Diceros bicornis minor: one gene and its partners. The protein of the gene in region 4 binds, or shares a complex with, the protein of the main gene of each other region. Links are inferred from orthologs where the notes say so. Each region holds a gene or a part of one and is shown on either strand. Other genes may lie near its edges. The genes, in order: STRN3, STK25, STRN and STRIP1.

Region 1 (7,373 bases), on a different chromosome or scaffold from region 4:
GACTAGCACTCTCACTTAGGAATCACTGTCACAGAGCCTCACTAACACAGCTTTACCCGAGTCACAAAGACAAAACAGCTTTAAGACATAATCCTTGGGTTAAGTTTCAAGTTTCTAAGACAGACTTTTACCCCAAATTCTTTTTACAGAGAATAAAACCATAATGCAAAGTTCCAATTTAAAATCATTTCCAAAGCCAGGGAAAATATGATTCCATATTAAAATTTTACATCAAAATTAGATATACCTCAGGCTCTTTGTATTCATTATTGAAGTTTTATCTTGAATATTAAATATATTTAAATACACTTTAAATATATGTGTAGATGAACAGTATAACCAAAGCTGAAGACAACAATGATATGTAAGCTGTCTTATTTCTGTTATCTTTCTTAAAAATAAGTTTAAATTTACAGTTAAAATTCACTGATGCTTCACTTAAACCCTCCCAATAAATTTTTATTCAACACATACATTTTTAAATCTACATGTCACAAGCAATCTTACTGAAGAATGAATGCACTTAAAGCAAATTCAATATTCCAGAAGCAAACTTGAAACTCTACTAACCCAGTAAAACATTTCAGAGAAATATATAAAAACAAAAACACACAAACACAATCATGAACATTTTATTCCAAAAGAATCAGTATGAAATAATGAAAATCCCTGGAAAAAATTAAGAATGTAGAAACAGGAGAACTACTTCAAAATAATCAAACAAAAAAAGCTTAGAATGGCTATATCAGAACTAATATGCCAACAGATCAACTGAAAGCAAGTAAGCAAAAGGAATCTTCTTTAAAAGACTTTTCTGTTACTGTCAAGGAAAGGAGAACTAGAAAGGAAAGCTAGGGCTAGGGCAGACAATACAGACCTCATTCATGAATAGATTTTACTAATTTAGACACAAGTAAAACATTTTCTCAGCTACTTACATTAGCGAAGCTTATGAACGACTAATGCAAGTGCTAACTTCAGAAGTGTTAAAACCTAAGCTTTCATACAACAGTACAAAGGTCAAAAACACTATATCAGGGACTGGTGAAAGTTATATTTTTAAAAACCCAATAGTATATCAAAACATAATTCTAAAGTATTGAATAGACTAACATGTTAATTTATACTTAATTTTTCAAGACTTGATAAAGTATCAAAATATCTCAGTATTCTCACTTTGTAAAAGTTTAACTTTACCCACTTTGCAGAATCAAATAAAAGTTTACTAGTTCAAAATCAAAGTGAAGAGATATATATATTTGAGGACACTCTTTCAAAGTTAATCCAATCTTCTTTCTTTCAACACTACATTTCCCTAACTATCCACCGCAGGCATATAAGACATATATGTCAGCGCAGAATACTGCTTACATTCTAAATATACACCAGACTGAAGAACAGGTGCAACACTATTTAGATGCATGCTTTTTTCTTCTAAGCCTAAATTTGCCTTGGAAAGGGATTTAAAGATAAACACAATACCCAAAAAAGTTAAACAATCCTTTTAAAAAGATGTAGCCATTCTGAAATCCAAGACATGAGCCCTGTTTAAACTACCAACACCTTCCAAAAGCTAGGAAAACCAGCCTATCAAAGTTTCACCTTAAGAGGACCGAGGCAGGCTCAATTATGCAGGGTCCTGAGGATATCTAACTTTGCTTCCGCTCCCTGAGTTAGTAAGGCGTGTCAAGTACGTTTTACTTCAAGCTAATATTAAATCTTGTCTCACTCGTTTCACAAAGACAGGACAGATAGTCTGGTTTGGCTTTTTACGGGCAAAGAAGGGGAGAGAGGAGGGGGAGGCCTGGTAAAGGGCACTCTAAAAAGAAAAATTCAGTATAGAGAAGCCTGGATGAGTCAGTCACTAGAGTAGGGAAGAACTCAAAGGGAATCTGAGCAAATAAGGCAGCATCCCAGGTAAGAATGTCCTTCAAGTTGGCAGCAGGAAATGAAAACTTCACAGGTCAGCCGCAAGCCATTGTGCTTGGTAGCAGCCCTGGAAGGAAGCGTGGCTGTCAAGGGGTAAGTGCGTACCAACTCCGGGGGAGGGGGCCAGACATGCCAAATCGGAAAGGGGGGTGATCCGGCAAAATGTGGTAAAATGCCCATCCCAGTCCCTCTCCTCGGGCTCTCCATCTTCAGAGGCATAGGCAAGAGCAAGCTCAGTGCCTAGCAGCCCCATGCCGGACTCTCCCACAGAGAGGAGCTCGGCCCCAAGCCCCGGAGACCCGGGCAGGCCGCCTCCAGAGGAGCCCCCGCAGACGCCATACTCAAAGCCAAAATGGCTGCCCCAAGGAAGCCCGCACCGCGCAGCTAGGGAGGGTTGGGGAACAAGCTTCTGCGGAAAAGGGGGAGGGGGAGTCTAGGAAGAGCCGTGGCCAGGAACAACGCCCCCGAGCCGCACAGGTAGGTTCCTCTCGTCGTCCCCAGGCCGCGGGGCTCCGACAGAGGGGAGTCCCGGCCCCACCCCCCGGCCGGGCACCCCGCCGCCGCAGCCGTCCCGCACACCGACCCCAGCGAGGTACCTGCAGTTCGGCCCGCTCCACCTCCCAGTGCGCCCGCTCCATCTCGAAGCGAGCCCACTCGTGCTGGATGTAGTGCAGGATCCCTGGGATAGTGTATTGCTGCGGCCGGGACAGCTCCGGGCCTGCCGCGGGCCCCGCTCCCTCGGCGGCCGGAGGACCCCCGCCGCTCGCCGCTCCATTCCCCCCTGGCGAAAGGCTCACGTTCCCCCCAGGTCCCTGCTGTGGCCGTGGAGGGGCCGCCATCCCCGGGCCGCCACCACCGCCTCCGGCGAGCTCGTCCATTGTGTGTGGGGCCCCGGCCGGGGCGCAGGGCGAGACGCCGACGGCTGGGGGAAGGGCCGGGGAGGGTGGCCCCGCGCTGGTGGCGGGGCGGAGGCCGGCTGGGAGAGGGGCGGGGAGGACGTTGTTGCTGTATGCCTGCCGTGGGTCAGAGCAGGGAGCTGCCGGCCGCCGCCATTACAGTCCCTCCTCCATCTGCCCGTCTCACTCACTCACTTTAGGGGAAGGGGGGGCGGCGGCGGGAGGGGCAGAGGGGGCAGGGTTGGGAAGGGGAGAGACGTAGGGCCGTCGCTCCCGCGCAGCATGCCGGGTAGAGAACGCCGCCGCACGACTAGTAGCCAAATAGAGTCCGGCCTCACCCTACGCAGGCGCACTGACGACGCAGTCGGGGTTGCCGTTAGAGGCGGGGAAGGCTCCCCGGCCCCGCCCCTAGGCCCGCCCTCAGGCTCGCTCCGGGTGTCTAGCGGCCGCTCCGGGGCAGTGGGCCTCCGACTCCGACCTTGGGAAGCGAGTAGGTGTCTGGCTTCCCAGTGGTTTCCCTCGCGCAGTCAGGCCCCGGGCGCCGTTCCCCAGCCAGGGGTGTCACCGACGTGCCTGCTTCCTGAGCTGGGTTTTAACCTGGCTGGTCGCTCCGGTGCCCTCAGCCGGTCCCGGATTCCTGACGTTTCTTTTGCATTCCTTGCGTGTTTCAGGCAGTCCCAGAGGGTCGGGGCTCTTTCTCTGCTTGTCACTCACTCTCCCTCTGGTTTCTTAGCACCAGTCAGTTCCCGGGGCCTTGGGGACGTTCTCTTTTGGCAAATAGCCCGGATCCCACCGGACCTGGGGACTGATTCCCCGTCTACGTTCCGAGTCCCGGCTTTGGTCCCACTTCTGTGCTTCTCGGTCGCCCGTCGCAACTGGTTCTTCTCTGCCTCACCTCTTCTTTCTTATTCTAGGATGGATTCTGTTTGGGGGGTTAGGGAGGGGAGCAAGAGCGCCTGTTTTCGTCTTTTTTATTGGGAGAAGGGGAGTTAATGAAAAACTTTAGATCTTGACGGTGGTGGGTAGAGGGAGACAGATACTTTGGAGGAGACTGGTTAGACTAATAGTTTGATGTTTTAGAAGTGAATTAGCTCACAAGTATTGTCATTCGTAGCAGAATCTTTTGATGGAAATAAAATATAAAAGCATCGTGAATATAACTTAAAATCGTAGATGAATGGCTAAAGGTGTTTTCCTGGGTCATTAAATGTTGCTTGAGTGAATATAATACACACACAAAAGACAAGATTAATCTTTTAAGTGCTGTAGTGTGTTTTTATGTGCTTAGGTTGCCAGGAAACATCCTTAATGAACTAGTAAGTTTATGAAAGTTAATGTAGCTAATAACCATTTGGTTGAAAACTAGGACAAAAATATTTAAAAACATAATTTTTAGGTTTAGTAATTACAGCTATGCAGGAAAATTGCATATAAAATTGCACTTTTAAATTTTTTTTCTTCTTTACTACCAATAAAATTTTCACTATGGAATGTAAGGACCACTCAGGGTGTAATTTCAAAGAGATAAAGTAGTACGTCTTAATTTATCATGTCTGCTTTACTGTTGTTATAGTTCAAGGCAGAGCACATTGGACTTATTCATGCTGCCATGTTTTATTTATGTATGAGGCAAGGTCTTAGGTCACAATATTAAGAACTATTTCTCCACATTCTTAAAGTACTGTTTTTGCATTTTATAGCGACCGACATACAACCTGCTTATTCAGTCTTGTTCTTTTTTGAGGGGCCTCACAGCACATAAAAAGTTCAGAAATACCCTGCTGCCTGAAGCCCATACAGCACACATTTGTGAAAGGGTGTGGTTGACCTCAATGATGTTGGCATCAAGAGAAGAGGAACATGCACACTTAATATTTCCCACTGGTACCTCAAGGTCAAGAAAAGACTGGATTCATAATCCTTCTTTTTTCCTCCCCACTGACTTTCAAAAAACAAAAAACTCTGCTCCTCTTCTATTACCTGTCTTATGTTTTTTTTTAGTTTTATTTATTTATTTATTTTCCCCCCAAAGCCCCAGTAGATAGTTGTATGTCATAGCTGCACATCCTTCTAGTTGCTGTATGTGGGACACGGCCTCAGCATTGCCGGAGAAGCGGTGCGTCGGTGGGCGCCCGGGATCCGAACCCGGGCCGCCAGTAGAGGAGCACGCGCACTTAACCGCTAAGCCACGGGGCGGCCCCCCTATTACCTGTCTTATTAAGTGGCACTACATCCAAACCTGTGGCCTGGCAGTCATGCTGGTACCTTTCTTTCACTCAGCCCCCACATCCAATCCTTTTCTCAGTAACATCTTTCATTATCTTCAATAACGTCTTAGCTAAAACGTTCCCAAGTCTACTCTTCCCCGACCTCCCACTACCACTGATGCTTGAGTGATCTTCAAAAGGCAGATCTGATCCTGTCATTCCCTGCTTAAAATATTTTAGGGATCACCAGATTTAGAATAAAGCCCCAATTTTAGCATAGCATGTAAAGTTCCTTCAGAGGCTGGCCTGGTGGTGTAGTGGTTAAGTGCGCGCGATCCTTTTCAGGAGGCCCGAGCGTTCCCTGGGAATCTGCAGGTTTGGATTCCCAGCGCGCCCTGACGCACCGCTTGTCAAGCCATGCTGTGGCGGCGTCCCATATAAAGTGGAGGAAGATGGGCACGGATGTTAGCCCAGGGCCAATCTCCCTCAGCAAAAAGAGTAGGATTGGCATCGGATGTTAGCTCAGGGCTGATCTTCATCACAAAAAAAATAATAAAATAAAAATCCTACAAATTCTAGATCCTCTCTGTTGTTTAACCTACCATCACACCATCATGGCACTGCATTCGCTCCGCCTGAACTGTGCTGTTTTTGGCTCCTAAATGCATAATGATATTTCATTCCACGGGAATTTAACACATGTTGTGCCCCATTACCTCTCCTTCCTTCCTTTCTTCCTTCAAAACTCAGCTCAAGTGTTACTTCCTCCAGGAAGCTTTCCAGATTCCTGAATTATTTAGAGACCCTATCCTGGTAGTATCCCATGCTTATCTCCTAATACTTATTACTTTGAATTTATCTATGTATCTATGAGTGGTCAGTGATGCTCATACTAAACACTATGAAAGCAACACCTACACATAACAGGTACTGCAAATCTTTGCTTCACTTATTTATTTTATTTCCTGATTGGCTACTATTTTTCAGATACTCTACTAGTCCTGGTGATCCACTGTGAACCAAACAGACATAATCTGCTCTCACAGACGTGACAGTCTAGTTTTTAGGCAAACTACCTAGCACCAACCACCCTGGCTTCTTCAATATCTTGTTCAGCTCTGTCTTAAAACTGCCTCTTTTAAAATTTCACATGTGCTCCCTATTTGAAGAATTCCGATTGAATGTGTCTACATTCACTTTCACTATGGTTTTATAAGTGTCAATAATGCAATCTTTGGCCATGGTCTTCCTAGATCATAGTCCTTTATCTGCAAGATTGCCTCCTAGAGGGGCAAGACCCATGCCCCTCTTGTTCGCAGCTGTCCCCCCAGTGTCTGGGACAGTGTGATCCCCAGTGAATGTTTGATGAATAACTTAGATTTAGACTACACTAATATGAGTATTTTTCCTTCACCACAATCATTTTTTATTAGTTTTTGCTGCTACCATTTACCAGTTATCTCTTAAGGTTCAGTGACCAGAACTGCCCGGAGTATTAAAAGTAAAAGACACCAAGATTTTCTCCTGTGTTGGGAGAATATTTATTACACTTCTGACTTTGTGTCTGTGACTCCTGAGGACAGTCTGCAGTGAGCTCCTAGAACCTTGTCCCCTGTAGATACTGAGCTCTCCCAGGCCCTATACTCACCTACAACTCACCTAACTGGAACTCCCTCCCCAAACTGTGGCTGAGTCATTTCCTCTCTTCCGTCTCACCTTTGAAATTCCCTATTTGTTCTCTCCTTTCATCAGTCTGTTCATCCCTCCTCTACTCCCACTGATTCTCTCAGTTTCAGTATACTACTCATGATCTTCGAGAAAGCCTATTTATATCTTTAATCCGTTTAGGATTTTAGGGTGTGTTTTTTTCTTTCCCATAAGCTAATCTTAGACACCTGTGTGCTTATTCTATCTGACCAAAAAGGGACTTGTCATATTGCATGTGCATATATTATGTCAGCAAAGGTATGTTAAGGCATTCCAGGCTTTTAAATAAGTCGAGAGTAGTTATCACTGAGACACCTTCTTCCCAATTATTGTAATACCTGATATACAGCGAGTTTTGACCCTGTATGGCTCCCTGTAATTACTCACCAGAACATCCAGTTTGATACTTGCTGACTGTTCTAACAAAGAGCTCAGTCTGGCTCACAAACACTAATCTAGTCATCTTTTTGCACCGTCTGAAAAGGTTGTGACAAGTATTCTTATCCCCATGCGGAGGGGAGAAAGCTGAGATAAGAGTTCTGTGTCACTTCCACAAGCCTTCAGAAGAATAGGAAGTGGTCCCGCTCTCACATCAGTGAGTGTATATGTGTGCTTAGAAACAGGAAATAAAGAC
Region 2 (7,866 bases), on a different chromosome or scaffold from region 4:
ACACTCTTTGGGTTCACACCACTGCAGGTCAGTCACCTGAGCAGACAGCATGACAGGAACACTCCTAGCTGTGATCCTGACCCTCCAAGCACATCACAGGGACAACCCGCTCCCAGCCCCACCAGGTGAAGGAAATGCAAGTAGCTTCCAAGTCTGGGGGCCTCAGGCTGCCCTTCTAGATGACGCACATGGTCTAGACAATCACTCAGGCCCCTGGACTGGCTCTGGCATCAGTTCAAATGATGCTATTGTCAATGGCGTCAAATCAGCCCTGGGGCTGCCAGGTCCAGGGCCACCACCTGGGATTGTGTCTGGCGTTAGTGTCACCCCACAAAATGAAGGGAGCCAAGCCATCCCCAGCCACCACAAAACGGGCTGCAGCCAAGCGAGCACGACACGGGGGACCCCGCAGCCACTCAGGCCCTGTAGGCGGGGCAGGAACTAGCTAGGTGTAGGACAGCCATCTAGGGCAGGAGCACAGGCCACGGGGGAGCACGTCCTGCTGCCCCACAGGGCCACAGTGACAACCCTCAAGAGAAAACGACATCCTGTCAAGCTTCCTGCCACCGACAAAGGCTGAGTCTCTCCGCCCCTGAAAGGACAAAGGGGGCTTCCTTCCTTTAGGGTCCCTTCCCCAGCTCCTCCACACCCGCACTCCCTCCCAGGTCTCATCCAGACGCCCAGGCTAAGCGCCACGCACCAGTGGCACACAGGGGACAGAGGCAGCTCAAGGCTCCAGTTCCTCATACTGGGTCCCAGGGGAGCTATTCCTACAGCTCTTAAAAATAAGCTGGAGACAAAGTTTTTGCACAGCATCTTAGTCATGTAATTTACCAGACACAAAATGTCAAAAATGAATGAAAAATCTGTTAGCTTAATTCAGCGTCAGTCAGCAAGCCCTCGCTCCCATCTGTGGCCACAGCTGGTCCCGGATGCCATGCCCAACAGCTGCGCGTGGCGTTCCAGGTTTCTCCACAGAGCCCGGCTGGGTCTGGAGCTGAGCTCTGACTCCAGCCCCTCTGGCCCCCAAGAGGACACACACGCTTCCTGTTCCTCGCATGCCCAGTCCTCACTGATTCAGCACACAGGAGCAAGCCAGAGGGCTACACTCCCTTTAAGGGGAGATTCCCACACCTGGCAGCAGTCAGCCCAAATCGTGCCCAAACCGAACAAAACCAAACAGCCAGGATGCAGGAACACCTGGCCACCGCAGTGGTGTATTCTAGCGCAGTCAGCTTCAGGTCACACTGGCTTTGAAAAAACAAAAAGGCGGAGAGACGCAGACTACCACACCCCCGCCGGCTGCCACCGACCCTCCTTTCCCAGCACCAGGCACCAGCAGCAGGTCCTCGTTCCAGGCAAACTCTGTGGAGGGCTCCCAGGGAGTCAGCCAGTGAACATGCAAGGCCAGACACCTCCAGGCGGCTCGGTGTTGGGAACTACGAGAACTAATCGCCCAAAGAAGAGAGACGGTTGGCCTCTTCCAGGGAAGCACTTCTCGCCTGGCTTACACAGGTTCTGCAGAGCAGCCTTCTCCACCTCCCCCAGTGGAAACACTCGCACTCGCGTCCTCTGCTTTCCCTACATGCCGACTCTTACACCACAGCCACTTAACGACAATCCCAGCCCCTCTGGATTGTCCGTCAGGTGGGGGTCTCCAGCGTGGACCCTGCTCTTTGACGTCCCTCCAGATGCGCAGATCCAGGTTCCTGCAGGATTCCCACCCAAGCCACCCAGCCCTGCGCCCAAGATAGGTCTCTGCACACCCTCCTGGATCTTGCACTGTGGCTCTAGTCTCAAAGGCCTGTGGGCTTCTGCCCCACAGCACACCCCATGGGCCACCCTGAGTCAGCCCTGCTCCCCACCAAGCCTGAGCACCTCAGGAATGGTCCCCACTTTGCCCATGACGGGCATCACAGGGTTCCCCAAGAACACTCCTCCCTTCAGCCCACATCCCCTTAATAGACCGCTCTCCCAAACCCCCAGGATGATTTTCAAAAGATACTTCTGGGTGAAATAAGACGTCTCTCGTGATCCACACCTCTCTTGGACTCTGCAGTCTGCACTCCCCTTGGGGGGCTCAAGCACGAACACACGCTTACAAGGCAGAAACCAACCCTCACCTGGTTGGCGAATCCCCTGAGGTGAGCCATGTCTGCGCTGCCCTCAGACCATCCGCTGCAACCCCAGGAGGCCCCAAGATCCCGTCTTGAGGCTCTGGAACCCGGCTTGCTCGCTTCAGTCAACTAGAAGGAGAGCAGGCCCCTGGGTGCCCTGTTCGCCCCCTCCCAACAAGACCCCCAAAGGCCGCCCGCCCAGCCCTGCCGGCCCAACCCCCGAAGGGCTCACCAACCCGGGGCACCCCCTGGAAGCCCCTCCCACCCCTGCCCCCAGCCTCCAACCTTCCTCCAGGCCGGCTTCCTCACCCCCCCCCACCCCGTCCGCCCCCAGCGCCCTCGCCCCTCCCCTAGGCCATCCCCCACCGCTGAGCCAGGCCCCCAGCGCCCTCCTCCCGCCAGGTCCCGCCCCCGGCGCCCTCCCCCCAGCCAAGCCCCGCCCCTAGCGCCCTCCCCAGTAAGCCCCGCCCCAGCGCCAAGCCCCACCCCCCCGTGACACCCCCCCCACCGCCGGACCCCGCCTCCAGCACCCACTCCCCCGCCAAGCCCCACCCCGAGCCTTTCCCCCGCCCCCATTGCTCTCACTCCACCTCCAGCACCCTCCCCCAAGCCAAGCCGCGCCCCCAGCGCCGACCCCCCCCAGCGCCCACCCCCCCCGCCAAGCCCCGCCCCCAGAGCCCTACCCCGCCCCATTCCCCCCACCGCTCGGACCCCTCCGCAACCGCCCCAGGCGCGGGCCCGTCCGGCAGCGCGCCCACCTCCGGGGGGCTCCATCCCGGCCTCCCCCGGCCCGCTCTGCAGTGCCCGCGAAGGCTCCCACCAGCAGCCTCCGCTCGCCGGGGTACGCCTGGGCCCTCCAACCCGCGAAGCAGCGGCAGCGGCAGCGGCGGCGGAGAAAGCCCGGCGGCGGCGACGGCGAGGGCGGCGCGCGGCGTCGTGGCCCAGCGCGGGGCTCTCTGGGACACCGAGTCCCCCCGCCCGCCCCGCGCCCGGGTGCCCGCCGGCGCTGGACTACAAATCCCGGCAGGCCACGGGGCGGGCGGTGCCGCGGCGCGCACGCGCGCCGCGGGGCTCGCTGGGACTCCGAGTCGGGCTTCCTGAGCGACTGCGGACTACGTCTCCCGGCAGGCCGCGGGGTGGGGCAGGGCAGGGGAGGGGCCAGGCAGGGCAGGGGGCGGAGCCGGGCAGCGGTTGGGTAGAGGCCGTCCTCCGCTCCTCCTTCTCTGCTCTCCGTCTTCCGCCTTGGTCCGCTATTGCCGCTTTCTCCGGCGGCCTGCCGTCCCCGCCTCATCTCCCCTCCCCACCGTCCCTCTCCTGCTGTCCCCGCTCTGTACTCCCTTCCAGTCCCTTCATGTCCTTCTCCATCCCCACTCCCCTGGCCTGCATTTCCTCCTCCCTTCCATCTTGGCGGGCATCGGCCCACCGTCTTGTCCCCGCTGCCACCGTCCTGTCCCTGGGAGCTGCCCCTGCAGCAAGCCAAATGTCAGTCGAGGGTCGAATGCAGAAAGAAAATGTGGTCCATACGTGCAGTGGAATATTATTCTTCCCCGAAGAAGGAAGGAAATTCTGACACAGACTACAACGTGGATGAACCTGGAGGACATTATGCTCAGTGAAATAAGCCAGACACGGAAGGACAAATATTGTATGATTCCACTTGTATGAGGTCCCTAGAGTCGTCAAAGTCGTAGAGAGGGAAAGTAGAGTGGTGGGTGCCGGGGGCTGGAGGAGAGGGATTGGGGAGTTAGTGTTTAATGGGGACAGAGTTTCAGTTTTACAAGATGAAAAGAGTTATGGAGATGGATGGTGGTGATGGTGGCACAACAATGTGAATGTATTTAATGCCACTGAATTGTACATTTAAAAATGGTTAAAATGAGGGGGCCGGCCCCGTGGCGTAGTGGTTAAGTTCAGCACGCTCCTCTTTGGTGGCCCAGGTTTGCAGGTTCAGATTCTAGGCATGGACTTGACCACTCATCAGCCATGCTGTGGTGGCAACCCACATACAAAATAGAGGAAGATTGGCACAGATATTAGCTCAGGGCCAATCATCCTCAAGCAAAAAGAGGAAGATTGTCAATGGATGTTAGCTCAAGGCCAATATTCCTCAGGAAAAAAAAAGTCCACTCTACACCTAACATGTGTCCCAGCATTCCCACTCCTAGGTATTTATTCTAGAGAAATGAAAACTTATCTTCACACAAAAAACCTGTACATAAATGTCTACAGCATACCTATTCACATAGCCCCAAGTGGAAACACCCCAGAGGCCTTTTAGCGGGTGAGTGGATAAACTGTGGTCCATCCATATGCTGAAATACTGCTGAGCAGTCAAAAAGAGGGAACTACTGATACATGTGACATCTTGGGTGAACCCTACAGATGTCATGTCAGAGGAAGAAGCCAGTCTCAAAAGGTTACATAGTATATGATTCCACTTAGGCGATGTTGTCAAAACAACAAAATATCAGCCAAGGGGAACTGATCAGTGCTTTCCAGAGGTTGGGGGAGCAGCCTGTCCCTACAGAGGAGCAGCAGGAGCAAGCCTTTGAGGGGTGATGGGACTGCTCTGTATCCTGATTGTGGGGGGGATCACACAAATCTATACATGCATTAAAATTCATAGAACTGTACGCTAAAAAAGGCAATTTTATTGTATGTTTTTCAAAAATAAAAATATAAAAATTAATTATAATTCCTTCATATCAAATATGGAGTCCGTGTGCAAATTTCATATGTGTGTGTGTGTGTACATATGGATATGATTTCATATATCCGACTGCACACAGTTTGTTCAAATCAAGATCCCAGTAAGGTCCATATGTTATGATTGGTTTGCTTGTCCCTTTTTTCCCCCTGCCATGTAGGTGCTGAAGAAGCCTAGCCACTGTCCCCTGCAGGGCCCCAGACGGCACTTTCCTGATTGCACCCCCCTCACCATGCCATTTCAGTTGTTCCTCGGGCCCTCTCTCCTATGACTTCCCAGTCAAACTCGAGGCCTAGGTCATCTTTATCAGACTGCACACACACCCCTAAATGGGAGGACAGCAGTATGTCCTCCTGGAAAGTCCTGGAACCTGGTGTGTCTGAGGACACCCCAACAGGCACCCAGCCCCCTCTCCTGCACGCCCCCACCCCGAGGAAAGTCCCGCCCCACGCCCCATTGATGCTTCCCTGAGGATGTGCAGAAGTGGGGCTGGAGGAGGGATTAGAGGAGGGCGCAGCCCCCCAGGGACCACTGGTCCACCTTGGCCCCGGGATGGGTTGGCATCACCAGCGGAAACTGAGAGAAGAGAACGATTTGAAGATGGAGTAGGCAAGGCTGCCTCAAAGCCAGGGGAGGCTGCGGGATGACCTGGGGGGTCAGCTCCACTGTAGAGCCCGATGGAAGCAGCCCTCCCTGAATACGTAGCCTCTACGTCAGAAGAGCCACAGCGTCAGGGATGGCCCTGGGCCTGTGCACTTGCTGAGGACAAACGGCCTCATGGACGAGCCCTTTATTCTCTGCCAAACCTCAGGGTGTGACTACAGCTGGGGTGGTGGGACCCAGCCTCCCAAAGGCCATCCCGCTGTTCCACACGGCTGCACACTGGCTGCTGCTTCTGGGAAGGTGGGGTGCTCGCAGGGTCAGCTTACTGCCTCACTTCACTCATTGTGAGTTCTTCTGTCCTCAAGGGAAACCCCAACTGAGGCTCAGGGATCCTGTGAGGCCACCAAGGTGGTGCTGAGGGCGCTGGGCCAGAAAAGCAGACCATCCTGACCAGTGTCTATCTAGGGAGGCCAGGCTGGGGAAGGCCAAGCCTCGTTGTGGGGCTGCTGCCACATTCTTTCTGGGTGCCCAGTCTTCTCTTCTCTCCAGGGACCCAGATCCATGAAGCTACACAGGGCTAGGAATTGGGCAAGGGGCCGGCCCCAGACCTGCATTTTCTCAGCCCATTGCCATGCCAATCGGCACCTTAGTGGCTGCCCCTTTGTTTGGTCCAGGGGAGCCCACGGCCATCCCTGCACATAACCCCGGGCTGCCTCACTGTCTTGCTGCCTGTCAGGGTCCCCTACTCCCTGACGTCAGCCTCCGTGTTAACCGCAGGGCCTCCCTGAGCATCTTCAATCCTCAGGAAGCTGATCCAGGATGGTGCCCCCACTAGAGTATTTCTGAATGCCTGGGGGAGAGAGACAGAGAAACAGGCACAGAAAGACAGAGAGAGGAGACGTGGCTGAACTCAAAAATAAGATAAGAACCTCTGTGTTTCAGAAATAGATCAGAAACTCAAAGCGTGGCCTGGACGAGTCCTGGGATTGTTGCGCTCCGGGTCTGGAAGCAGGCAGCAGTGGCCTGGAGTACAACCTTTGCATGGTGGAGGTCAGTGTCCCAGAGGAGGACAGGGAGGGAAGCACACTGCAGAGACAAGGCTGAAAAACCCAAATGATAAACAAGCTTGTGAAGTTGGGGCTCCGGGCAGGAGATGGAACTTCAACCTCCGGATTTGCTCCCTGGGTAGGGCCAGGAGGAACTGGGTGGATACTCCCCAGATTGGCCTGCAAGGGGGACCACAGGGCAGGGCCCAGGGAAAGGCGGTGGGAGCCAAGGGATGCGGCCCCAAGGGGCCCAAGTTGGTGTCTCCCAGACAGGGGACCACAGGCCACAATCCAGGTGAGCTGGTGGCAGGCTGGGGCTGCTGCTCCCCCAGCATCTGGTACTGCTGCGCCCAGTGCAGCCCGGGCTGTATCCTGAGTCACCGTCGCTTCCCCCTCCAGAGAGTGGTCTCGAGGTGCCTGTGGCCAGTCAACTCTCTCAGCCTGGACTTTAGATGTCTGAGACCTGGCCACGCTTCACCCATGGAGGACCGTGGACCTCAGGGCCCTCTCTTTCTCTGCCTAGGAGGTGGCCACAGTGCGGAGGCTGATCCCAAACTGGAGAGCTTACCGCCTGTGCTGGGGGATGCCTGGGCCAGGGGAGGCCTATGTGGGTTTCACAGGCTCTGTAGTCTCTCTCCAAGACAGCTGCAGGTGAGCTGGTGAGAGAGCCCGGAGCCAGGCCTCCACTCAGGGATCCAGAGAAGACCAGAAAAGTAGCCCACGTTTGCTTTCATTCACTTGGGAAAGCTGCCGGGGCACCAACAGGAAGAGGCAAGACGCCTGGGCCCAGGGGATCCCGTGCAGACCCCTGTGACAGCACCTGGGATCCCCATCCTAGACAATTCAGAGACAACATGGCAGAGAGAGGCCAGGAAGGAGCTGAAAAGCAGCCTCAGGAGTTAGGAGAACGGTTATGGAAGTGGGGAGGCTGCTGTTGTCTGCATCCCAAGGTTGTGGGATTCAGACTCTAAGGGTAACTGAGAAATACTGAGAAGCTCCCAAGAGCCTGTCCTTAAATTTTCAGGAATTTTGTGAGCTGGTTGTTAAACACAACCATTATCAAAAAGTAATTATATACATATTATTATATCTATCCCATATATTAAATAGAGGAAGATGGGCATGGATGTTAGCTCAGGGCTAATCTTCCTCACCAAAAAAAATAGGTAAAAAATACTCATCACCTCCTAATTATTTTACTACATTTTTCTGTTATAGCTATGCCCTTGAGGTTGCTTACAGAGTGCGTCAGTACAGTGGAAAACCTGCGCAATGTTGTGCTGCTCCACAACTCTCCATCAGTGAGGTCATGTTGGCAGCATGACCAAATTCAAGTCCCAGGCCAGCAGGGTTGTTTTCTGGAAGAACTTTCTTCTTGGCTTACAGGCACCCA
Region 3 (7,762 bases), on a different chromosome or scaffold from region 4:
GAATCTTAAGTTGATCACCATCAATATTCCAAGAGAAGTCTTGCTACGACTTCAGAGCGATGTTATCATTTGTCTCCCCCTGTATTAGATATTTAGATTTGTTAAAGCAATCTTGATTTCAGATTTTAAGTATTTATTTCTCTAAATATCAGTCACTACAAAATTAAAATTAATTTTAATTTCAAAATTAAATTTTATCTAAATAGTTAAATTTATTCAAATAAATTAAATAAAGTGAAATTTAAATTAAAATTAGGCAACTCTCTAATTTCAACCACACTCTTCCAAAAGAAAATAATAGTAATAATAATAATAAATAATAGAGGCTATTTTCCCATCTTATCACAAGACTGTGATATAGATTTAATTCTTGGACTCCCAGAAAAAATTTAGATATTAGAATTCCTCCACTTCCCAACTTGTGATTGGCTGTTTCCCCAACCCAGTCATTACCAGACTTCAAAACTAGGGAGTAAGTTTGGAGGCTGAGGAAAGGTAGAAGCAGAGTAGGCAGAAGGGACAGGTGACAGAAATTAGGGAGTGGGCACATGGTAGAAGGGGTTGATAAATAGTGGTTTATTGAATATTCCTTTTCCCCAAAGTTCTGTTCACCCTAGCAGAGGCCTCTCTCCAGTCCAGCAGTCCACTCCTTTTCTTCTGGCCAGAATTCTGAAAGAGCCATCAAGTTCAACTTGGAAGCTTTTCTTTGAGCAGTTAAAGAGTCAGAGACCCAAATAACTTGTCATTTAAGGGCCGGCCCTGTGGCTTAGCAGTTAAGTGTGTGCGCTCCACTACTGGCAGCCCAGGTTCGGATCCCAGGCACGCACCAACGCACCGCTTCTCCAGCCATGCTGAGGCCACGTCCCACATACAGCAACTAGAAGGATGTGCAGCTATGACATATAACTATCTACTGGGGCTTTGGGGAAAAAAATAAATAAATAAAATTATCAAATAACTTGTCATTTTGAACAGTTTTTAAAAAATAGCACTCATTTTTTTTTTTTTTTTGTGAGGAGATCAGCCCTGTGCTAACATCTGCCAATCCTCCTCTTTTTTTTTTTTTTGGTTGCTAAGGAAGACTGGCCCTGGGCTAACATCTGTGCCCATCTTCCTCCACTGTATATGGGACGCCGCCACAGCATGGCTTGCCAAGCAGTGCGTCGGTGCGCACCCGGGATCCGAACCGGCAAACCCCCTGCCGCTGCAGTGGAGCACGCGCACTTAACTGCTTGCGCCACCTGGCTGGCCCCAATAGCACTCATTTTTTTTTTTTTTTTTTTGTGAGGAGATCAGCCCTGAGCTAACATCCGCCAATCCTCCTCTTTTTTTGCTGAGGAAGACGGCCCTGGGCTAACATCGGTGCCTATCTTCCTCCACTTTATATGGGACGCCGCCACAGCATGGCTTACCAAGCAGTACTTCGGTGCGCGCCTGGGATCCGAACCAGCGAACCCTGGGCCGCCGCAGCGGAGCGCGCGCACCCAACCGCTTGCGGCACCGGGCCGGCCCCAGCACTCATTTTAATGAGAAAAAAAAAGAGCAGATGAATTGTCACTGTGTAGAACTATAATCCCTACCTCACAAAGCATACACATATAAACCAAAAAATAGCAAACACTTCAATTATCTAAATAACCTTCTAGCATTTCACAATTTTTCACTTTAAACTGGTTATGCTGATATATAAATCAACATTTCGACAGCTGCTTTCTGTGCTTGGAAAAGAAACCCTATTTTTTTGTGTCACAGGCTTTATTAATTATAAAATGAAACAATCAGGAAATCAGCAACACCTTGAGGGCTGAGGCATACGTAATAGGTGTAGGCATTAATTTTTTTTTAAAGATTATTTTAACTCTGCTGGATTAAAGTTCTGAATAGGGGATGAGAAAGGAAAAAGAACAGTTTTTGAGCCCCTAGTATTCATGATTTTTACAAGTGTTATTTCAGTTAGTCTTGTGAACTCTAGCACAATAACAGCTATCATTATTCACTTTATACTATATATCAGGCACTGTGTTAGGGGATTTACATTTCTTCTCTCATTTAATCTTCACAGTAACTTTATAAGGTAAATGTTATTCTCATGTTAAAAATGAGAGAGTTGTGGCTGAAAAAGTTAAACCATTTGTCTAAGATTTCCAGACTTGAAAAATTGTAGTGTGAGGAATAAAATTTAGCTTTCACTAATTGCCATATCCTTTCTAGTTATTGTTTTTTTTTCAAATTCAAAAACATTTTTGCTGTAGTGACTGAGAATGCACATCAAGTGGGGGCTTCTGGGATGCCTGCAATGTTCTGTTTCATGATCTGGCTGGTGGTGATGTGGAAGGGTTCAGTTTGTGAAAGTTCATTGAGTTGTTCATTTACCACTTGTGAGCTTTTCTGTATATATGTTACATGTGATAAAGTGTTTACTTAAAAAAAAGTAATTCATGCTGAATACAGAAAATGAAAAATATAGACAAGCACAAAGGGGAAAAAAAAATCACTGGTAAGCTCACTACTCAAAAACTAACAGTTTCAGAAGCTGATTCAGTATAGGAGGAAATGATGGGATTCATGGTCCTCGTTCTCTTAAAGAAATTTAGGGCAAAAGAACTCCAAGGGAAAGTCTTCTTTCAAAAGTAATGTTTTTTTGTTAAATTACAAAAGAATTAGTACCACATATGGAAATTTTTAGAAAAAGAGAAAAGTAAATTTCTTCAGAATTCCACCTTAATATAATCATTCTTAATATTTTGGTATATTGAGTGACGGTGTCATGACATTATAGATCATAAATAGTTTTGTGTATAAACAAGTCCTTGAAAAGCAAAAAGATATTGAGTAAGAAAGTCGAACTATGCACTAAAGCACAGTTGTATGTGGGATAGTCCAAGTTATCTATAAATTTGTTTTATAGTCTGTTATGAATTGATTTAAAGGCCTTTTCAGACCTGTCTTCTAACTATTAGAGAAAAAAATAGCTCTTAACATTCAACATTGTGAGATTACTTAAATCCCTCAGATGAAAAAACATGCCCTTGTTCATTATTGTCCCCTTGTTACTTGATAGGTCTAAGTAAGAGAGGAGGCAATGTGTTAACGGAAAGATCAATGAACTGGCAGTCAGGAATTCTGGTTTCTAATCTTGGCTGTGCCACTCCTCAAAGCCTCATTGTGGACAAGTTTCAACTTCTTTGGACTTTAGTTTCTTGAGCTGTAGAATGACAGGATTGGGCAGTATCTCAAAGGACAATTACAGCCAAAACAATTTATGACACAGGGAATTTGGCCAGGCCTGGATCAACCTTTTATTATAATAAAGAATGAACTCATAAAGCAGAAACATTCAGTAACTGGGAGAAGAGAGCCTGCCATCTTTATTTGCAACCAGAGCAGGTACAACGTGTTTCCTGTCTTTTCCACATGTAGCCATGGGAAGAGAGGAGGGTAGAGCACAGGGACAGGATGTCCTTCCTTTACATATCACTCACCAGACTGTATCTTTAATTTTTTTCATAACCATCAGGTCTGATACCCCACAAAACAAAAGAATTACAAAAAACTTATTCGGGTGATAAATTAAGTACTTAAAATCATTTTCATTTGTTAAATTTTTTCAGGCACCTTCCTTTCATTATGGTAGTCTGAAGTTATAATGACGTAATTTCAGGGATTTCGGAGACGGATAACATTTACCGAGAAACGCTTGAAAGGACTTTGGTGTGCCTTTGTAGGCTAATATTGTTGCCAGTTTGCAGGTGAACCGTGGAAGAAACTGGGAACGGGACAAGTGAAAATGAGAAGCGCCTGCATACCTAAGACAGTTCTAGGGAGCAGAAAGGGGACTTTGTTCTTTTAGGTAGTGTAGCTTTAAGGCACTGTGAGAATTGATTATATGCTTGCCAATCTCCCTTTGATGACAGGAACTGTGTCCTTTATCTTTATATCCCCAGCGACAGATATAACCGACAATCAAATATTTGTTTAATTGAATTGAGTAAAAACTGCACGGAAAAAGGAGACTGAAATAACAGAGCCTTGGGTATCTGAAAATTTACAGGATTTACTGCAAGATTAACTGCAAAGGGAAAGCGACTTGAGCGGAGCACTGTTTCAGATGAGGTGTGAACAAACCAGAATTTGGAAGAAGCTGAACGCTGCCAGTCTAGGAGAGAGGTCATCAGAGTTCTTTATCAGTGAAAACTGATCAGGCAACAGGTTTGAACCCCCGAGTGAAAAAGAAAGGCAGGAGCGATAGCGATACTCGGGTTGGCAGAACTGGGGAATGTCTTGGATCAGAGAAACACCGAAGTCGGAGCCGAAGAGGGAGGGCTGAGATCGGCTGGAGACCCCAGTGCAGGGGCCGGACCGGAGAAGCTCGCTTTGAGCTTGTTTCTTAACAGAACTACCAGGAAACCCTAAAAGATGTGCAGCTCGGGCCGGTATTTTGGCGTGATAACTTCCGTATGTGAGTGTGCGGCAGGGAGCACCGCCCGATGACTTCCGCGTGCGAGAGAGACTGGAGCACCGCCCCCCCGCGCCTAGCCCGACCGCGAGGAAACCCGCGCTGCCCGCGGGGCCGCCCTCCGCCGTCGCCGGCCGGGGCGGGGCCGCGGCCGCGCCCGAGCCGTACGCATCCCCACAGGCCGCCTCCGCCGCGGACGCCCGCCCCACGCCCCGGGACTACATTTCCCAGCAAGCCCCAGGCCGCTCGCGCGCCGCAGTTGACCCATTTCCCGGCCCGTCCCGGGCTCAGCCGGCCCCCGCGCCCAGGCTGCTCCCTGCTGACTGGGGTGTGGGCGGGGAGCGGCGGAGGGAGGAGGAGGCGCTGCTGGCCGCCGCCGTTGCCTCTGCTGCTGGCTGCCTGGGCAGCTCCCCGGGTCTCTGCGGCCGCCATGGACGAGCAGGCGGGTCCCGGCGTCTTCTTCAGCAACAACCACCCGGGCGCCGGCGGTGCCAAGGGTCTCGGGCCTCTGGCGGAGGCTGCCGCTGCGGGCGACGGGGCGGCTGCGGCGGGGGCGGCCCGAGCCCAGTACAGCCTGCCAGGGATCCTGCACTTCCTGCAGCACGAGTGGGCCCGCTTCGAGGTGGAGAGAGCCCAGTGGGAGGTGGAGCGGGCGGAGCTGCAGGTAAAGACCCTCCCGGCCAGGCCCTCTTCATCCCGCCTCTTCGCTCCCTTCCGCCCCGCCCCGGACCCTTCCCCTCCCCCCTCAGCCCTCGCTGGTTCTCTCCCGGTTTGCTCCCGCCTATCCCACCAGAACCTCGTCCCCTTCCCCCCTTCACCTTTGGCTTTCGCTGACCCCACTTCCTTGACCCGGGTTCCCACTCCCGCCCCTGATGCGTTGTTTATCCTCCCTGCTCCTTTGCGTCTACACCTTCCCACTCTTAACTCAGTCTCATTTCAGCTCTTGCCATCGCACGTTTTAGGTCTTCCCTGTCAGTTTACTAATTGGGCTGACAGTAGTTTTGAGAGATGCCGAGCAGATCATACACTGCCGTAGTGAGGCTCATGCTAGGTCTAGAGACGTTCCCCGCAAAAGGTATTGGCAGTTGTCTCCTCTGTCTGAAAGGAAGGTGATCAAAGAAGACAACAGAAGTTGTGTTCGTGAGGCCTTGACTTTAGGCAAGAAGCTGATGTTGGGTGAAAGTGTTACTAGGACTATCAGCTCCCCTTTTACATATGCAAATATTTCTTCTCTTCCCTCTCCCTCACCCCCTCCGCGTTTCTTTTAGGTATTTCAGATTCGTGGATTTTGAATGAAGAGCTTAGATGATCACAGTCAGGTGATGGTTTCCTGTTCTCAGAATCTAAAACTTCTCAAGTGTTAATTCTACGTTGTGTTTTGTGAGATTGACTTGTACTTTAAAAGGCACTAAACAGGGCTTTAAAGTTGGTTACATTTCCTTGCATAATCTGCAAGATAAAGTATATCCAGGGAGGAGCTATTGTGGGCTCTTAGAAGAATGAAAGTGAGGCTGACACTTTACAGGCCGTTCTGAATTGGTAAGTAGGTTTCAGTGGCTGTTCTTAAAACTTCCAAGGCAGACGCCAATTTCACAGGGAACTTAAAGGACTATGAGTGGCTGTGCTTTTCTGTTTTACTGGCTAATCCTGTATGCTTATGAAATCTGAGTAAAGTTTTGGTTGGTGAAACACTTGAAGTTAAAATGCTAGCCAATGTATCCCTTTTTTTGGTAACATGTATTTTCTTGGGCACTTTAAAAAAAAAAAGGAAAGGAGAAATCTGTTAAATAGAATCATGTGCTGGAACAGGCTGCTTTGGTGTAGTGGAAGGGGCTGTGGAAAGAGCAAGCAGGCAGGGTGCTGGCTGTGCTTGCTGCTAGCTCTGTGACCTTGAGGAAGTCCTTTAACCTCTCTTAACTTCAGTTTCATCATTTATTTATTCAGCACATTTATTGAGTGCTAGCTGTGTGCTTCTAGGCACTGGGATTAACAAAGCCGACAAAGCCTCTGCCCTCATGGAGTTTATGTTTTAGTCAGCGAATGCACCTATGTAATATACTGACCCATAGTGGCAACTGCTATGAGAAAAATAAATCAGGGTACAGAAATAGAGGGTGATAGGGGCAGATATTTTAGATGAGGTGGTTAGGGAAGACCTCTGGGAGGGGTTGAATGAAGCCCGGTGAGTGACCCATTGTTTCTAAGATTCCTTCTGGTTCTTTATTCTACAGTTAGTTGTATGTTTATATTTTTTGGCAGCTTTTTCATCCCTACTATTATGTTCCTTTAGTATTTAGTCTATTGATCTTTGTAATTTTTCTCGTAATGAATCTGACCATGTCTGTATAGTAACCAGCAGACTTAAATGCTTCATTTAAATTTATTGGTAATTCACCTTTTTAGCAATGCATTCCATAAAAGAGCTTGTGGATTTCCAGATTTCAAGGAAGCCTTAAAGGCAGGCTTTAACTTGAACGTTGTACAGTTGCAGAGAATGATTTTTGTATGTAGCTGCTTAAGTTTTAATTTCTTTTCCAGTTTAGGGGATGTAAGCTGTCACACTAATTTGGTCAAAAACAAACAAGAAAACAGTTCTTACCTTCCTACTTGTGGAAGTTTGGGAATTTCCAGCCCGTCTCACCCCTCCCCACCCCACCATGTTTAAACTTTTCAATTTACCTGTAACTAATCACTCTTCAGTTTTTTATTCAGTTTGTTAAGCAACACAGTCACGTGTTGCTTAACGATAGGGACACGTGCTGAGAAATGCACCATTAGGTGATTCAGTCTTTGTGTGAACGTCATAGTCTGCACTTACACAAACCTAGGTGGTATAGCCTACTACACATCTAGGCTGTATGGTACTAATCTTATGGGACCTCCATCGTATATGTGGTTCATTGTTGACAGAAATGTTATGGGGCGTTTGTGTGCATATATGTGCGCACACGCCCGCGCGCACACACACACACTACTTTTTCGGTTACTTATGGCAAATGTTAAACTTCAGGTAGGTTTCCAATTGGTGCTCATCATATTAAGGGCACTACATTTTTACAGTCTTTTGGTTTGTGCTCAAATTAAATTGTCGCAGAGAAACTTAAAAAATGTGTCATATTTTCCAAACAGAACAAGTATTATATTATGTATTATTGGGGGAGAGAGTTTCCACGAAATCTGTAGTCTTTGATTCCCTTAGTAGCATAATTGAAAATATATTTTTTAAATCATTTCTTTATAGCAACATCCTTAAATTTTAACATCCCTTCATTTTTCTTTTGCCGTTGGGATTTTTCTTGAAAACGA
Region 4 (7,914 bases):
AAAAAAACATCCCCAAATAGGGGCCAGCCCGGTGGCGTAGTGGTTAAGTTTGGCACGCTCCAGTTGGGTGGCCCGGGTTCGCAGGCTTGGATCCTGGTGCAGACCTACACCACTCATCAAGCCATGCTGCGGCAGCAGCCCACAAAGAAAATAGAGGAAGACAGGCACAGATGTTAGCTCAGGGCTAATCTTCCTCACCAAAAACAAACAAACAAAAAAACAAATAGAAAAAACAAAACCCAGCCAAATAATATGAAGGTCTATGCTTTACCTGAGAGCTCTGCAGCCCACTTATCAGTGTCAGCATATTCAAACTCGAGGTCTGGTGACTCAGAATAGCCCTGTTGAAAAAAAGAGAGAGAGTGACACAAAAAGTCATTGTGAGTGTTTTCCAAAGGAGGAAACACATATGCTTCCAGATACACTGCTGTGTTACACGACACCATCACCTCCACTCTTCTGATATTTTTTCGCAGTATTTTGTCTCATGGGCGAACTCAGGTCTCCCTATTAAGCCCTCTCGGAGCACCTTGCACTTTTCCTTTAGAGCACTTATCATAACTTATAATTATATACTGGCATGTATACTTGTTTAGTGTCTGCCTCTCCAAGAGACTGCAAGTTCCTTGAGAGTGGGAACTTTGTCCATTTTTCTCATCAATGATTTCACGATGCCCAGCACACTACTTGGCATGAATGAGTGAATGAATAGTTTATACTCAAAAAAATACTTGTTGGATGAATGAACACAAAGCTTCCATGCATTTTGTATAGTGAATGACCATTCTACATGGTGCTAAGATTCCGGAAGCCTCATTTCTTTCTTGCTAGTGGGCTACCAAAAGCTCAAGACAAAAATGAGCATCGACACTCTCAGCCTTCCTGCCTTTTTCTCAAACTTCAGGGAGAAGTGACAGACAGAGTAGGCAGCAGCCAAACAGAATGGCTCCCCTCCCAGACACAGGAGAGAATATGACAAAAAGAATCTTTTTACTGCTGGGGATAGGTGATCACTGAGAATATGCCATCTTGGAAGGCTTGTTCTGTGAAGAGAGAAGAAGTGAAGAAGTCCTCAGGTTTAATCACAATCTACTTGGGAAGACAAAGACCACCCACAAAATGCCCTAACATGCCCACAAACACTGAATGACATGAAGAATTCAACTCCTTATTCAGAGGCAACAGAATGTATACTTTCACAGGTTACTGAACTTATTTCTTCATTTATGGAACAGGGATGACAAAAATCCATCTTGAAGGTTTTTAAGGACTACTCAAAATTATGTAGCGCACAGTGGGCTCTCATCAAGTGTCAGTCTCCCTGTCCTCCAGGCATTGCTCAGGCTCCCAGCCTACTGATTTCAGCTATGACTCCAGAAAGAGCCCAGGGCAACATCAGCATCTCTAAGAAAACGAATTTAGACAGGTGTCTCAGCTTAAATGTGTTTACTGACCGACCTTCTACATTTTCAGTCTATATGGAAATTAAAGGATAGAAAGAGAAATTTAAATGTATCAAAGGGTGTTTATTTGACCATTCATGGCTACTTAGGAAAATTTAAAACTATTTTTAAACTATAACTCCTCTCATAATGAAGGTGGGTTCACCCCCACCACTTTCATAATCCTCTACACTTGAAAAATTATTAAGTAGTCTCCATTGATGTCCCATCACCCCACCAGGCACGGGCTCCTACAAGGTCAGTTTCACTGCTTTTTCAAATAATTCACTTCAAGCTCAAAGTATGTCTACTTTGGACTTGCCAAATTTTGACACGTTTTACCAGAGGTTTGCACTTGCCAACAAAAAACAAAAGCTTGAGAGGAACTGATTTCACAAGTCTAAAGAGAGTACTATCACGCTTTAGTATGACCTGGACATAACGTTATGCCTGGACAACGAGGAATTCCCTCTCATTCTTCAGCGCCTGACTGCTGATCAACCTCTGAGTTGTCTCAGGTGAAGGAGCCTCACAGTAAGCGCTTTAGGAACGTGCTGATTAAGAAGCCCTAAAACGCTGCGACGTGTGTCTTCATTCATGAATTCTACAATGGGAGGCAGTGGGAGTAATTCTTTAACTCGGGGTGAGGTGACTAGTCAGCTCCAAACTATGGTGTCTCCGGACCGGGAGGAACAGCCCACTAGCAAGAGAGGAGGGAATGCTGAGTTCTAATGTACGTTTAAAATGTATATTTCTGATCGGAGTTCAGCATCGGGCGCGCTGGGCACACCAACCACCAGGCACTGTCAAACCATGGCCCGAACCCGCCGTGGCTAAGGTCTGAGTGAACAGGGAAGGTTCCCTCCCTCCTACCCTAGCAGTCTCCGGGCGCGTAGTACTATTAGTGATAATGAGCTCCGTCCGGCTTCGCAGTGCCTGCCAAAGCGTGGCCAGGCCCTTCCCTGCCCACACACGCCGTCCCCCGCGCTGCGGAACCCACAGGACCAGAGGCGATTAGAAGTCGGGGTGCAGCCGCCCGGCCCCCTGCAGCGCACGCAGACCACTGACTCTTCACCCCCGAACTGGGAGCGGGGCGGCTTCCCCAGGGGCTGGGGCCCCGAGGCCGCGCCCACAGCCCCAGCCCCAGAGGAGCAGTCACCGGCTCCGGAGGTTCTCCCGGGCGGCGGAGCTCGGGGCGGGGACCCCGGCCTCGCGCCCCCGGCCCCGGGGATGCCAGCCGTGCTTCCTGCTCCTCTCGCTGTAAAATAACAAGTCCCCTGCCGGGCCCTACCGAACCCTCTGAGAAGCCCACCTCGGATCAGAGAGCGGCCCCGGACCCGGGCCACCCGCCGCCGCCGCCCGCCGCTAGCCTCGCCCCCCCGAAGCTCCTGACCTCCGAGTCTTTGCGCTGGTTGCGGTTGAACTCTCGGGCTTTGCCCCCAGGCAGCAGACCCCCGGCGGCCCGCGGTGCCCCGGGTGGAGGCTGCGCGGTTGCTGGCGGCGGAGGTGGCGGCGGCTGGGGCTGCTTATTGTTCAAGATCAGCGAGCCGGGTCCGCCGGCTGCCGGCTCCATCTTGGCTGCTCCACACCCCCGGCTTAATTCGCGGACAGTAGCCGCGATACAACTCTCGCGTGATTTCCTCCAGGAACGCTCCCTGGTCGCCATATTAAGTGTGGCGGCAAGTGCCGGAAGCCATATTGACTGCCCAACACCTCGTGAGATTCTGCGTGAAACGTTATTCTTCTCGGGCCAGTTCGTTTCCACTGCTTTTTCAGTACCGGCTTAGTTGTTTTATTTGTGCGGCCTCCCTTAGCTCCTTCAATCAGTTTAGTCTCCCTTTCCTTTCTTTAACATCGTTTTGCACTTGTCGCTGTTACAGCCCTGTTGAAAGCTTAGGGGATACAGTAGTGAACAAAATGGACACCATCCCAGTCTTCACGAGTTGACATCTACTTGGAGAGGTATGCTAAGCAAATGAATAAATCAATAAAACAATTACAGTTGTGACAAATATTTATTCATCGTTCATTCAAAAAACATTTAGTGAATGTCTTCTAGCTCCAGGTAGTGCGATAGAAGGGAGAATAAATCAAGTTCCTGCCCTCATGGTGCATAACATACTGCCTGGTGGGAGAGACAAACAGTGAGCACGCAAATATAATGTTAGACAAACAGGTGCTGAGAAGAAACAAAAAGAAGTGTAAGGGATTAGAAGGTGGCAGCGCTGGTGGGGGCGGGGGATGGCTATATTAGGCTGCCCCAGGAAGGCAGGCCTGAGAGTGCGATTTTGAATGAGTTCTGAAAGAAGTGAGAGCGGTGCAGAGATCCACAGAGGCAACACGGGCAGAGGGACCAGATAACTGCAGAGGCTCTGGGTTAGTGTGCTAAGAACTGAGTGAGCCAGGGGAAGAATAGTAGGAGATGAGGGCCAGGTAATGCATGAGCCAGATAAATGCAGGGCCTTAAAAGTCATGGAAAGGAGTTTGGATTTTATTCTAAGTGAAATGGGAAACAATGAGAGGATGTTAACCAGGAGGGTGTCATGGTCTGATGTTTAAAAGACCAATCTGGCTGCTTTTGGAGAAGGGATTGGAGAGTTGCAAGAGTAGGTGAGGGTAATCGGGTTAGGAGACTATATAGATGGAAATAATAGTGCCTTGCATCAGGGTGGAGTTTTGGGTTGATATGATATTTTTATATTGTGTAAATAGATTCAACAGGATTTGCTGAAAGGCTGGAATCCTATCAGCAGGATGGAGAGGAATAAAGGATGAGTCCTAGATTTTTGGCTTGAGCAAGTGGGTGGGTGGTTGTATTACTTATTAAAATAAAGAAGTCTGGGAGAAAAAAAACAGGTTGAGGGAGAAGATCAAGATTTCTGTTTGGGACATGTCATATTTGAGATGCCCGTTAGACATCTTAGAGGTGATGTGTAATAATTACGCGTTACTGTGCTGTGAGATCCTTAAAGGCATTTTATTATCTTTGTCTCTCCAGAACTACATCTTGGCTGCTCCACACTCCCAGCTCAATTCTAGGAAAGTCGCTGTGGTGCAACTTTTGCATGATTTCTACCAAGGTCCCACCTAGTAGGTGCTTTAAAAGTCTTTTTTTGTAAAATAATGAATAAATCCAAAACCACCATGTTGCTACTTCCTCCTACCTAGCTTCCTGTTCTTTGCCTCTATTCCTTCTCAAATCTAGTCATACACTTTGTAAATTAGCATTTCATCCAAACTAGGCTGGGCCAAGCTGATAGGAAAAACTAAGGAATTTGCAGGAAAAGGACCAGTGCTGAGAGGCTTCTTAGATAAAATCAGCAAATCCCACACGACCCAACACACAAATGATGTTTAGTTTTAGTGACCACAGTTTGGACAAGTTCTAAGACTGACCTACCATAAGCTCTATCATCTGGGAAAAAAAAATTTAGACCTTTAAACACTGTACACTGCTTCAGCTACATTCAGAACAAGAAAGGTTTGGGTTCAGCAATTCCACTTGTAGTAATAAATCCTAAGAAAATAATCAAAGATTTAGACAAAGATATATGTATGATGATGTTCCAGGCAGTGGTATTTTCAATAGTGTAAAGTTGCGACCAACCTAATCTGAGAAATAGCCAATAAGAAAATGGCTAACTAAATAATGGGGTATGCATAAGATTGAATATAGAGAAGCCATTAATATTTGTGTTTAATATTAAGAATTTTTAGTGACATGGCAAAATGCTTATGATATAATTGAATGTACAATTGGTTCTGTGTGTGTGTGTGTGTGTGTGTGTGTGTCTATGTCTATGTGTAGAAAAGAGACTGGAAGGAAATATACCAGAAACTTAGTAGGTTTTATTTCTGGATGTTGGAAACATAGGTTATTTTCATTTCCTTCTTTATACTTTTCTGTGTTCTTGGAATTTTTATAATCAATGTGCTATTTTTATTAAGGTATAATTTATACTCAATAAACTGCACATGTTCAAAGTATACAATTTGATGTATTTTGACATATGTAAACACCATAAAATCATGACCACAATCAAAATAATGAACATATCCATCACCCCCAAAAGTTGCCTGTGCCCCTTGGTAATCCTCCCTTCTACTCATTACTGTGCCCCTCTCTCATTTCTAGTTAACCACTGATAAGCTTTCTGACACTTAGATTAGTTTGCATATTCTCCAATTTTACATAAACAGAATCATACAATATGTATTCTTTTTTGTCTGAATTCTTTCACTCAACGCAGTTATTTTGAAATTCATCCATCTTGTTACATGATATTAATAGTTCATAAATAGCATCCCATTGTTTATCCAGTCACCTGTTAACAGACATGTGGGTTGCTTCCAGTTGTTCTGGCTTGTTCAAACTTAATATTGAGAGGTAACAAGCCCTTTTTATAAAAACTGTCTGAGCCTGTGTGGAAACCTTTCCTGAATGAAATGCAGTGTCTCCAAGCTGTGACTAGCTCAAGAATTCTAAATAGGAGAGCTACTTATTTTATTTATTTATTTTTTTGTGAGGAAGATCAGCCCTGAGCTAACATCTGCCAATCCTACTCTTTTTGCTGAGGAAGACTGGCCCTGAGCTGACATCCGTGCCCATATTCCTCCACTTTATGTGGGACGCCGCCACAGCATGGCCTGACAAGCAGTGCGTCAGTGCATGCCCGGGATCTGAACCCAGGCCGCCAGCAGTGGAGCACGCGCACTTAACAGCTATGCCACTGGGCCGGCCCAGGAGAGCTACTTAAATTGGCATCACTTTTGAGTCCCAAAGAGTCCTCCCTTTACTCTGGCAAAAACTCCTTGAACTATACTCCATTTGGCTTCTGGTAGGAAAAAGGATTCCAAATGTGAAGGAGCTGAAGCACAGCTGGAGAACTCACTCTTCTCCATTTGCTAAGAAACTTGCAGAAAAGCACAGCCCCATAGAGGGTAGAAGTTGCAGAAACGCCTTCATGCAGTTCTTTTCCTTCTTTCCTCATCTGTAAAATGAGGATAATCCCACCTGTCTTATGAGGCTATGGATCAAATGAGCTAATTTATGTGAAATCATTTTGAAAACTGTAAAGCATTGTTTTTTCAAAAAAGAGAATTATTATTACCAAGAGGTGAAGCCTAAGGTGAGAAGGCCCTTCCTTCACCATGAGCAGTCATGGTTCAAGAGACTGGAAGTGAAATGTTATATTTGAGACATTGTAGCATTGCAAGGGCTCCACCGAGAACAGGGTGGTTGTTCCAGCGGGCTCTGTTGAAGGAAATTGGCACATACTGTGTTCTTATAGGATGTCAGGTACTGGGCAAGATGTTTCACATCCATCCATACCTGAGTGCGTGCTGGCAGACAAAGTGAGCCTGTTTCTGGCATTTTCCATCTTAGCCCTGGTCAAGATATTGCTAGTCACTGAAATGCTCAATATTAAAGTTATGACTCCTGGAGCATCTATGGGCAGATCTTCCCCTCTAGTTGTAGTGCCATGTGGAGTTCTCTCCATTAATGACTATGAGAAGAGGAAAAGATTAATAATATTTTAGGTAGGTGGTTAATAGGGCAAATATCATTAATCCTATCTTCCAAAGGAATCAGTCAGCTTAACTCTGTCCCAGGTCGGATTACTTTATAACCTCCTAGCCTTCTTACATATAGATTGGATTAGTCAAAAGAGGACCCAAATATACATCCAGTGGCTGATTTGACATCTCACGTGGAAGTCTAATGGGCGTTTCAAACTTAATATGCTACAGACAGAACTCTGTATTCTCCCTTTCTTGCGCCAAAATCTGCTCTTCTCCTGCTTTTCCTTAGGATCTAAATAAATGGTATTACCGACTACCCATTTTTCTCAAGGCAAAACCTAGGACACATCCTTGATTCCTCTCTTCTTCACCCCTCACATCTAGTTCACCAGTGACTCTCTCACCAAAACATATTCTGGAGCTCCCTATTCATGACCATTGCCACTCTAGTCTTCCCCACTTCCTCTCCTGGTACCCTATAACCAGTTCTCCTTGCAGCCAGGGTGAGGTTTTAGAACCACATATCAACTCATGTCACTCACTTGCTCTCAATCTTCCATGGCTTCCCACCTCACTTAGATTTAAATCCTAACTCTTTACCCTAACATATGAGACCCACATGGGTCCAGCAGGGATCTGCCTTCTTCTCCCACCTCATCTCCTACCACTCTCCTCCTTTAGCTTCATGACCCTCCATTCTCTCTCTCTAGCATGCCAAGTCTGCTGCTACCTTAAGACCCTTGTTCTGGCTGATTTTTTGGGAGAGGGGAACTTGGAATATTCTTTTTATATAGTAATAATAACAAGAGCAAATATTTATATGTGCTTGCTGTATGGCAGACACTATGCTAAGGACTTAAACTCGTTTAATCCTCACAACAACCCTATGGGATGGATACTGGTATTTCTCCTATTTTGCAGATGAAGAAATCAAGATATAGAGAGGTAA

What was found.
Region 1: the proteins of STRIP1 (region 4) and STRN3 are in contact, whole or in part, in a cryo-EM structure (PDB 7K36), measured with the Homo sapiens proteins. The link is inferred for Diceros bicornis minor from reciprocal best matches to the Homo sapiens genes STRIP1 and STRN3. Residues at the interface, in NP_149079.2 of Homo sapiens: Arg441, Ile445, Tyr447, Leu449, Thr455, Val456, Val457, Gly458, Leu459, Arg491, Ser492, Pro493, Leu494, Ser495, Phe792, Leu793, Pro794, Val795, Asn797, Cys798, Leu799, Val802; in NP_001077362.1 of Homo sapiens: Thr64, Pro66, Gly67, Leu69, His70, Tyr71, Gln73, His74, Val88, Glu89, Ala91, Glu92, Ala95, Arg96, Phe99, Leu100, Glu103, Gly106, Gln107, Leu110, Asp113, Leu114.
Region 2: STRIP1 (region 4) and STK25 share a complex: the UniProt entries of both Homo sapiens proteins name them as parts of the core of STRIPAK complex. The link is inferred for Diceros bicornis minor from reciprocal best matches to the Homo sapiens genes STRIP1 and STK25.
Region 3: STRIP1 (region 4) and STRN share a complex: the UniProt entries of both Homo sapiens proteins name them as parts of the core of STRIPAK complex. The link is inferred for Diceros bicornis minor from reciprocal best matches to the Homo sapiens genes STRIP1 and STRN.

The regions. Positions count from the first base shown.
Region 1 is NC_080744.1:17,618,040-17,625,412, reverse strand, and holds the start of STRN3 (striatin-3), read right to left. Parts: upstream 3,020-7,373; 5' UTR 2,808-3,019; coding exon 2,526-2,807; intron 2,407-2,525; exon of another isoform or gene 2,133-2,406; intron 2,023-2,132; exon of another isoform or gene 1,743-2,022; intron 1-1,742. UniProt on the Homo sapiens protein: Calmodulin-binding scaffolding protein which is the center of the striatin-interacting phosphatase and kinase (STRIPAK) complexes.
Region 2 is NC_080776.1:28,317,300-28,325,165, forward strand, and holds the start of STK25 (serine/threonine-protein kinase 25), read right to left. Parts: upstream 3,024-7,866; 5' UTR 2,938-3,023; exon of another isoform or gene 2,876-2,937; intron 2,247-2,875; 5' UTR 2,154-2,246; coding exon 2,124-2,153; intron 1-2,123. UniProt on the Homo sapiens protein: Oxidant stress-activated serine/threonine kinase that may play a role in the response to environmental stress.
Region 3 is NC_080751.1:47,156,287-47,164,048, forward strand, and holds the start of STRN (striatin), read left to right. Parts: upstream 1-4,747; 5' UTR 4,748-4,886; coding exon 4,887-5,120; intron 5,121-5,261; exon of another isoform or gene 5,262-5,995; intron 5,996-7,762. UniProt on the Homo sapiens protein: Calmodulin-binding scaffolding protein which is the center of the striatin-interacting phosphatase and kinase (STRIPAK) complexes.
Region 4 is NC_080743.1:43,079,636-43,087,549, reverse strand, and holds the start of STRIP1 (striatin-interacting protein 1), read right to left. Parts: upstream 3,016-7,914; coding exon 2,836-3,015; intron 342-2,835; coding exon 272-341; intron 1-271. UniProt on the Homo sapiens protein: Plays a role in the regulation of cell morphology and cytoskeletal organization. Required in the cortical actin filament dynamics and cell shape. Part of the striatin-interacting phosphatase and kinase (STRIPAK) complexes.